2 linked regions of the Daphnia pulex genome follow. Each later gene encodes a partner of the first gene's protein in a complex. Links are inferred from orthologs where the notes say so. Each region holds a gene or a part of one and is shown on either strand. Other genes may lie near its edges. The genes, in order: phosphatidylinositol 4-kinase beta-like and Golgi resident protein GCP60-like.

Region 1 (4,577 bases):
ACACAGCCATTTTAATTTGTTTAAATAGGTTTGCAATAAAAATAAGTCCTAGTCAAATCATTTTTAGGTCGCTATTATTATTATTAAAACGATAACATCACACAGTTTTACAGAAATCATTGAATTCTTGAACGGAAGCTTTAGCAACGTGAACAGCAAAGTTCGAATCCGAATCACTTATTAATTTTAGTGGACTAACATAGTTTGGCAATTTAGGATCGTATTGAGCACGGTTCAAATAACACAAAAATCCGTGGCGCTGTTTAACCCGGAAACTTCGACTGGTCAGTACTCCAGGGAATTGTAGCATGGTTTCATGATCCATCTTAACTACATTGTGAAGATAGTCAAACCTGTCCAACAGCATTGGTTTGTCTGAAAATAATTGAAATCTTGAATTTTTTGAAGTATTTACACGAAATGAAAGAGATACTCATACTCATCAACCACAATTTTGGCTTTGTCAGAAGCATTTGTTTAATTTGCTGATGCTCAAATCCCATTTCTTCTTTGAACCCAAAATTCATCAACTGAAAGTTAAGAGCTTGTTAGATTGTTGATCATATTTAAAAAAAAAAAAAACTTGTATACCTTAATTTGTTGAATGTTACTTGTGATAAGCCGAGGCTCTCTTGACGCCAAAGCTCTCAGTTCATTACCGGTTAAATCGAATGTCTGTTGTACAAATCCAAGTCTAGTATCTATTCGTTGAGTGCTAAAAATACAAGATTAACAACTCTTTTAAAAATGTTAAGATACCTTTGAAATTATGTACCTGAATAGTAGCCAGAATGGATTTCTGGAAAAGATTCTAACAATCATTTCTGAAGTAAACTTTTTTGATTGTAAATATTTAGTTCTAATTTCAAGCTCTTCAATACTTGTCTTTAAAAGCAATGGACTTTTAGTGAAAATAGTTCCTAGAGATTCTGGTGAAACACCTTGATCTACCAGAAATTGGATGATGGGTTGCACATCTTTCTTGAAATCGAGCTTCACTATCCAAGAGTGTATGTTTCCCTTTTTTTCCCAATCATGAATAGATACGCCAAGTTTAACAAACGTCTGAAGAAGTTCTGACTTGTTTACTAAAGACGCTAAGTTGAAACTGGGGGCCACAATAGGTACAACTCCATCAAAATTAGGATCTTCCAATAATGGATTATTCTTTTCTTGAAATGGGATTAATTCTGTGCTGTCATCTAAGACATCACTCCCTGATTTGTTTATAGGAACAACAGAATGATTTCTTCTTACATTAGAAACTAGAATCCTATGCTCAACAAAATCTGCCCCATTTCTATTAGCAGTACTTTTTAGTAAAAACTGAATGTTCTTCAATCGGAGACACTGCCGTAACATTTTTTGTTGTGTAATTTGTTTTCAACTAATACGAATCAAATTCTACTGGAAAAACAGCTTAATTTGAAGAGTTGAGAACATTTACATCCGAAGTAATTTTAAACTTCACACAAACACAACAAACACGTGAAGAATTACTAGCAGAAGAAATCGTGTGACGACGTGGTCAATAAACTAACCGTTAGGTGGCGTCATGTGTTTTCTTTTTGATCGGGAGATGTGAGAGGCAAGATTCTTTGGTGGTCTCAATTCTCTAAACTGTGAAGCAAAATCGTGCAAGAAATAAGAAGAAAACTTGTATCTGATTGTTTGACATCCATAGGAAAACAATGGCGTTCGGCGCCCAATCAATCGAGACCCAATTCCACTGTAAGTGAATTCAAAAGTATTCTTTAGTTGAACTGTTAAGGTGCATAGCGACAACAGCCCTTTGCACAATATGTGACGGTATGTGTCAGTAATGGGGGCCTAATCTAATTGTCCCCCACAACAAAGCATAAAGATTCACGAATATTTTCAAGTAGAAAAAAACTTAATTGAACAGCTTTTTCGCAATGATGGTCAAACATCATCGATTATAGAATTGGTCACAAAAAAGAAAACGACAATCAAAAAATAAGTTGCCGAGTTCCTTCTTTTAGTGGAGTGAATACTCTTTTCAAGTACACATGCACTAGCCGTTTCCTTCCATTATTCGACTAGAAAGTTCCGCCGTTGGGTTTTGTATTTTAACCCATTAAGACTTATTGACTGGCCTCTTTTGTTGTTGTTTCTTTTTTCTCTTGTGTGTTATTTTACTTGACTGTCTCAACTGCCATGGCGGTCGACATTGTCTCCGCGCGTCATTATTTTTCAACCAGCCACCCCCCCTTAATGGTCAATTCATGTCTTAATCTTTTCGAGTTGAGTGAAAACAATATCGTCTGGAGCTGGATTGGTAAAAATTTCTGGAGGAATAGAAAGCGAGACCAACACTTGAAACACGAGAGCTTGCCGAATCGAAAAGATAACATGAATTAACCACGCCCCTTTTGAATTGCTTCCGCACATTGAGAAGGCCCTAGAGTGTGTGTGTCTGTCTCTAACTTGAAAAGGTCAATGAGTTTGATCGTTATTAGAGACTCTCTCTACTTTTTTACTGGCCTTCGGATTTCCATGAAAAACGGATGTTTGTGAGGACTTTTTTCCGACGTCGGATCTTCTCATGCGTGTGACGTGAAGGTCCTTCGGGACTTGACAAGAGTCTGTTAGGGCTACATCAAGGGTCCGAAAATAGCTTGAGAGAATCAGCAGCTATAGTACTGCTACTACAAGTGAGAGTGTTTGAGAGATAATATAAGCCAACGTGTGGGTTATATGGCGCGGTTTTTCTCTCGAGTCGGTACACACATAACCCAATTCCGACCAAAGTTTTGACTTTAATTGATACATTGCCCATTCTTTTTTCTACAACAATTTCGGTTGTTGACCATTTCATTATGTGTGTGTGTGTGTGGTCAAACCTTGGTCTAGATTTCTACAAGCTGATTGTTTCGTTGGAATGCGGAGGGGCCGCTGTCTGTGAGTCATCTCTCGTGGGTGTATGAGAATCCAAATTTCTTCAGAAGTGATTTTCATCTGAAAACCAGCAGCTTGGACACACAATATGTTGGTTGAAGATGAGAGAAACTGACAGGATGCTGGAGGCCCTTTTTGCTTTGCGTTTATAACGAGAAATGCCGTCATCTTATCAAGACCCCGAGATTATACTAATATCACCGAGGCTTGTGATCTCTGAGCAGCTGTACACAACTTGTTGAGTCAACCCCAGAGTCTTCCAGTTTTTTTAAAAGTCTCGAATAAAAATGTTTCCGTCCGTTCGGTTAGAAAAGGTTCTCTTACGTCATGGTAAGAGGGCGGAATTGTTCGCCATTCTGTCGAGTAATCGTTTCGCATTTGGCCAGAAGCGGTTGGGCAACTCAATTTTTGCAAAGGTGGCATTGAGATTTATAATACGAATATTCAATCAGTTTAAATGACGTCAGCTTGTAAAACCGAATCGTGATTCATGCATCTTTTCAAATGTCAAGCTTAAAACCGCTTTGAATCATTTCGATGTTGTTGTATATATTTTTTAACGCATTGCGTGGGTGAGTGACGTTGACATGGTGGAATTTTCAAAAGAATACGAGGGCTAAAATCGTGGGTTAAAAACTTGTCGAAATAACCCACTTTTGGGTCGTCTAAAGTGGCGCCTCTGGTGGCTGAAAAGTGAACCACGTGCTCCACCCTCTTATTGGGCGAGCTGCTTTTTAGCCTCGACTATTTCCACGGCCGTTCTGCTTTCCACCGTCAGTCTCTGGCCGCACCGTCAACTCTACGCTAGTTGTTGGGTTGTTGGCTGTCATTTCGTGTTGTATTTCCTTTTCTCGTGTGTGTGTGTGTGTGTGTGTAAAGATTTTTTGTGTGTTTCGGCGTGGCTTGGGCATTGGAATTCCAATCAACTTTCGACACATTTCCCTGTGTGATTTCCAAAACGTTTTTCCTGCTCGTTGTCTGTGTGTTTTTATGTTTTTGATTGGACCAAGTGACGGCTTTCCCTCCTTCGAGCTAGCAACAAGAGTTTTGTTTCTTTAACTCGAGTGTGTGGTGGCTAGGCGTTTTCTATTTCCTCCTCAGTGTGTGTGTCGCTTTTATTATTAACAAAAAAAAGAGATATTATATTCTGCCATTTTCTGGCCATTTTGGGAAAACTCTGATCCAGCACTTTGAGCTCACCAAAGTTTATTTTTTTCTCGTCAGCCGAGTATCGATCTGTTCTTCCAAGGGTGGGGTTTGAGCTTCAAGCCGGTGGGGGTTGGCAGCTACTACGCCCAGCGACTCTTTTAAACCCTCTGCTCATCACCTTGCGAAAAAAGAAGAAAATACGAAGCCAAAATGACAGATGTCAAACAACATGTCGACTGCTGCTAAATAAGTAATGGGCGACTCACGGAGTAATAATACAACGACTGCTGTGATATCAACAAAGGTATTTTGACGCCATTTTTACTCTCTTCATATATTTCCCACCTTCTTTTTTAAAAGAAGAAATGGCTACCAATTCATGTGTGTAAAGCCACAGCTAAGAGTCAACACATGTAGAAGGGTGGAAGAGAATGCTGTCAAAGACCTTGGTCGATGGTTCCCTAGTAGTATAGTACGTTCAGTTCTATGGGCATAGATATTTTACAAGG
Region 2 (4,145 bases), on another chromosome or scaffold:
CTGCGTGTCTAAACTGGTACTTGTAGCGTTACTTCAGTGGAAAATTAATTGTTTGATAGGATTAGGGTGTCGGTGCCGTTCTGGCATTGGCATTCAAACATCCTTGGCGACGTTTGAAGGCTTGAGAGTTGAGCTATCATTTATGCTAGTTTCATAGAAAGTTCTACTACAATGTTTTTAAAATTTTTTTTCTACAGAATGAAAAGGTTAATTCCGTCCGTGACGCGTTGGCCTGTCTGGTAAGCAAAGAACCGTTGACCGGTTATATTTGTCCGAAGACTGGTCAAGAGGTGGAGGCTTCTCGACAGACTACTCTTGAAGAACTGCCCCCTATTTTAATCTTACACTTAAAGTGTTTCGTGTATGACAAATCTGGTGGATGTCAAAAGCTGATGAAGAGAGTGGACTTCTCTTCCGATTTGGAATTGAGTAAAGGTATTCAGAATATAAAGTGTTTTATATATACATATATTTCAATTTTATATTTTCATGTCAAGACTTCCTGTCACCAAGCCAGAAAAGTAAACTCAAAGAAAAACAGCGACAGTACAAGTTATTTGCAGGTCAGTGTTTGTGTCTGATTTTTATGTATTTTCATGCGTTGTGTTAATAAGTTCTGTGAATTGTGATAAGCAAGTTAGCTTAGTTGTAGAAACATTCATTCTAACGTCTCATTTTCTTACAGTTGTTTATCACGATGGAAAGGAAGCGACCAAAGGACATTATGTAACTGAAGTGCATCACAGTGGGACTGGAAGTTGGCTTCGTTTTGACGATAGCATTGTGCGTGTTGTGGAGACTCAACCCTTTAAATATAATTTGCCGAGGATGCCGTACTTGTTACTCTACAGGAAATTGAACGTGTAAATTTTTTTTGCTAATATTGAAAAGTCGCGCGGTTTATTTCTTGTAATAGATGCTGTTAAAGAATATCTTCGTGGTATTCTCCAGTATGAGAAATGAATCCGTCGTTGTTTTTTTTCTTGCATATTCCTGTTATGCGAGTGTCCTTGACCTTTTATTGTGGATGTGGTCGGAAGTGCCCTTAGTGGTCTGATGTTTAATTGCTTTCATTTGACGTTGGTTAATGTGGTATTTGTGTTCGAAAATTGGATTGAGCGTGATATAATATGATCGGATGATTGTAGTCAGCAGATTTTTATGTGTTGTTTCAAATGAAATCGGTACGTTTCGTATTTGTACTGTTTAGAAACCACCGCATCTTCGTTTCTTGTACAAAAATATAATAAACTTAACTAAAGTTAAATTTCTCTGAGTCAAGATTTTCATTACGTTTCAATAAGTGTATTGCATTATAGTAGAAAAGAACGCGAGTTGAGCGACTAAAAAGAACTCATAAATTCAAAATATGGAACCGGCGAACCGCTGGCATGCCGCTGGGCGGGCGCTGGAACTCTTGATCGTTTGGTAAAGTCGAACTGGCGACGTCGCACAGAATATTGTTATTTTTTTTTCAGTAATTTTTTTGTGACGTTTCCTCCCTGAGTGCAGACAGAATTACTTTATTTTATTGCCAGCAAGGCACAATTGAGGATTGCTTAAGAACAAGTTCTTGTATTACTATAATGGAGAAGCCTTGCCCAGTGACCAGCTCAGAATTTCTTGAGAAATGGGGTTGTGATTTAGAGACCTTGTACAAACTAGGGATTAAATTCTTAAAGGGTAATATATGTTTTATCTGTTTAAACCTTGTATGTGCATCTGTTCTCATGGTTTTGTATCTTCATTTTTATCAACAGATAAAGAAGGAAAAGCTTTTCATTTAGGCTATGATCAGAAATGTAAGCTTCTGGCATTTACCCAACAAGTTTCTAATGGCCCATTCAACCCTGATCTCCACGGAAATGTGGGTGTACTTGATGTTATAGGAAAAGATCGAAAAATCGCTTGGCAGAAGCTTGGAGACATAGGCAGAGAAAGTGCTATGCTAAGTTTTGTTGAAATTCTTAATTCAGCTTGCCCTTTGTTCCATGCATGTGTTGAGGCTCACAAAAAAGAAATTGAAATGAAAGCTGAAAAAGAGAAAGAAGATTTAGAATTTCAACTTAAAGAAGTAGAGAGATTGAAAATAGAAGCCGAAGAAGATGCTAAAAGAGAAATTCAAATGAAAGAACAGGAAGAAAAACGAAAGCAAATCAAAGAAGCTCTGAATTTACAAACCTATGACCAGTTCAAAACTTATGCCGAGCAGCAGTATCCAGAAAATCCAGATCAACAAGCTATTTTGATCCGGCAGTTACAAGAGCAACATTACATTCAGTACATGCAGCAGATATATCAGCAGCAAATCCTATCACAGAACATTACCAAGGCTGAAGACAGTGAGTTTTCTCAAGAGTTACCACTGGATGTTGAAGCTGCAGCACTAAATGCTTTAGCAAGTATTCAGAACATCCCACTAGAACCTGACAATTTTTCTGAAGCTAGTGGTAATGATGAAGAAGGTATGTTTTTATTCATAAAATTCCTTTCAAAAGGACTGCCATCCAATTATTGATTTTTTTTTTGTGTAGAGCTTGCTGCCGATATCGTAGCTGCTTCTATGTGGACACGTAAAGATATACGGGAATTCAAAGATTCAGTCTACAAAGAAGGAAAGGATTCTATTATCAAAGTTGGACACGGCGAAACTGTCACGGTTCGTTAGACTTCAAGCGCTATATACATTTTATGCAAAATATATATAGCTATTTCATTTATTTAACTAAATGTGATTCGCTTCAGGTTCGAGTTCCAACTCACGAAGATGGGTCTTGTTTGTTTTGGGAATTTGCAACTGATAATTATGATATTGGATTTGGATTGTTTTTTGAATGGACAAAATCACCTACTGAACAAGTGTCTGTTCATATTTCGGACAGCGAAGATGAAGATGACGACGATGACGAAAATGGTAATTTTGCTTGAACAAATATTTATTTTAACGACTTGTGATTAATATCATGTAATATCAAGTTATAGAAGACGATGTGGAGCAAGGAGGCAACAACTCAAGCCATTCAGCTCTTATTGACTCAAACAGGCCTCCGATCTCAATCGTCATTCCGGTGTATCGGCGTGATTGTCAAGAAGAAGTATACGCTGGCAGCCACACATATCCTGGTCAAGGAGTTTATCTTTTGAAATTTGATAACTCTTACAGTCTCTGGCGATCTAAAACTTTATACTACAGAGTTTATTATACTCGTTGAACGATTCCGATGTTTTTGACACAAATTTTCCTCTGCCATCTTTGTCTGTTCATATACAACTTCAATAGCTATGTTGTTTACAGTAAATCGATCTTGACGTGAAAGTAATGTGCGACTATAATAGCTGATCGGTTTTTTTTCCGCAACATATTTTTGGTCTGATTCTGTTTTAGATCACCGGACTTGATATGCAGTATTACATCATCTTCATGTATTCACGCTAACTTAAATTTTATCTTTAACACGTTTCTTTAAGTTACCATACCAAAAACAAAACACCCAAAGTTCTTTTTGTTCAGCGATCGGTTTACCATGTACAGATGCACTCATCTCTCCAGTTGTACTTCTGACTGACCTAATTTTCATGCTTTGGATAAACAAATATTTTTTAGTCTAATACCTGCTTCTTCGGTATTTTTATAAGTTGTGGCATACAAAAGGGAGAAAGACATTCTCTAGTTGATTTTTTGGCCTCTATTGATAAGGTTTCCAGGAAGAACCCAAGTTGTAGGTCTTCTAACCATTGCATAACTGGACTTTAAACCCAAATTAAAAAAAAGCAATATTTTCTTTAAATTTCATTTATTCAGTGTCATGACATGATGCGACATTTAATTAGAAGAGCCGTAGCTGAAATTCACCAATTTCTCACTGATTTCCCACAAGCGACGTGCCGCCTCTTTGTTTTCGGCTTGTCTTGCTGGTCTCTCTTCCGCACAGTCACTAGAATTAACGGGGGAAATGTGTTATCTTTGATAAACTAATCGATTGTACTAACAATATAAGGTGTTACCTGTAATAAAGGCCGGTCCGACTGGAAAGGGAAGGCTCGGTTGCACAATATATAGTCGTTTGCGCACCCATTTCGGGTGTTTTAAAAAAGTATTGTCCAAACCAATGGAACATGTCATCCACCAAACGATTGGTTGTCAC

What was found.
Region 2: the proteins of phosphatidylinositol 4-kinase beta-like (region 1) and Golgi resident protein GCP60-like are in contact, whole or in part, in an NMR structure (PDB 2N73), measured with the Homo sapiens proteins. The link is inferred for Daphnia pulex from reciprocal best matches to the Homo sapiens genes PI4KB and ACBD3. Residues at the interface, in NP_001317650.1 of Homo sapiens: Val37, Gly38, Val42, Ile43, Asp44, Pro45, Val47, Ala48, Gln49, Lys50, Ala51, Cys52, Glu54, Val55, Leu56, Val59, Lys60, His63; in NP_073572.2 of Homo sapiens: Gln245, Ile246, Ala249, Leu250, Gln253, Thr254, Gln257, Phe258, Tyr261, Gln265, Tyr266, Leu276, Leu280, Gln283, His284, Gln287, Tyr288, Gln291, Leu292, Val295.

The regions. Positions count from the first base shown.
Region 1 is NC_060021.1:592,602-597,178, forward strand, and holds the start of phosphatidylinositol 4-kinase beta-like, read left to right. Parts: upstream 1-1,531; 5' UTR 1,532-1,731; intron 1,732-2,923; exon of another isoform or gene 2,924-4,372; intron 4,373-4,577. Other genes in the region: transcription termination factor 3, mitochondrial-like, read right to left, coding at 98-375, 440-530, 592-715, 776-1,362. UniProt on the Homo sapiens protein: Phosphorylates phosphatidylinositol (PI) in the first committed step in the production of the second messenger inositol-1,4,5,-trisphosphate (PIP). May regulate Golgi disintegration/reorganization during mitosis, possibly via its phosphorylation.
Region 2 is NC_060022.1:4,601,391-4,605,535, reverse strand, and holds Golgi resident protein GCP60-like, read left to right. Parts: upstream 1-1,457; 5' UTR 1,458-1,586; coding exon 1,587-1,683; intron 1,684-1,760; coding exon 1,761-2,465; intron 2,466-2,534; coding exon 2,535-2,659; intron 2,660-2,745; coding exon 2,746-2,914; intron 2,915-2,976; coding exon 2,977-3,212; 3' UTR 3,213-3,609; downstream 3,610-4,145. Other genes in the region: ubiquitin carboxyl-terminal hydrolase 10-like, read left to right, coding at 198-435, 498-563, 686-867; retinol dehydrogenase 11-like, read right to left, coding at 3,824-3,935, 4,006-4,145. UniProt on the Homo sapiens protein: Involved in the maintenance of Golgi structure by interacting with giantin, affecting protein transport between the endoplasmic reticulum and Golgi. Involved in hormone-induced steroid biosynthesis in testicular Leydig cells.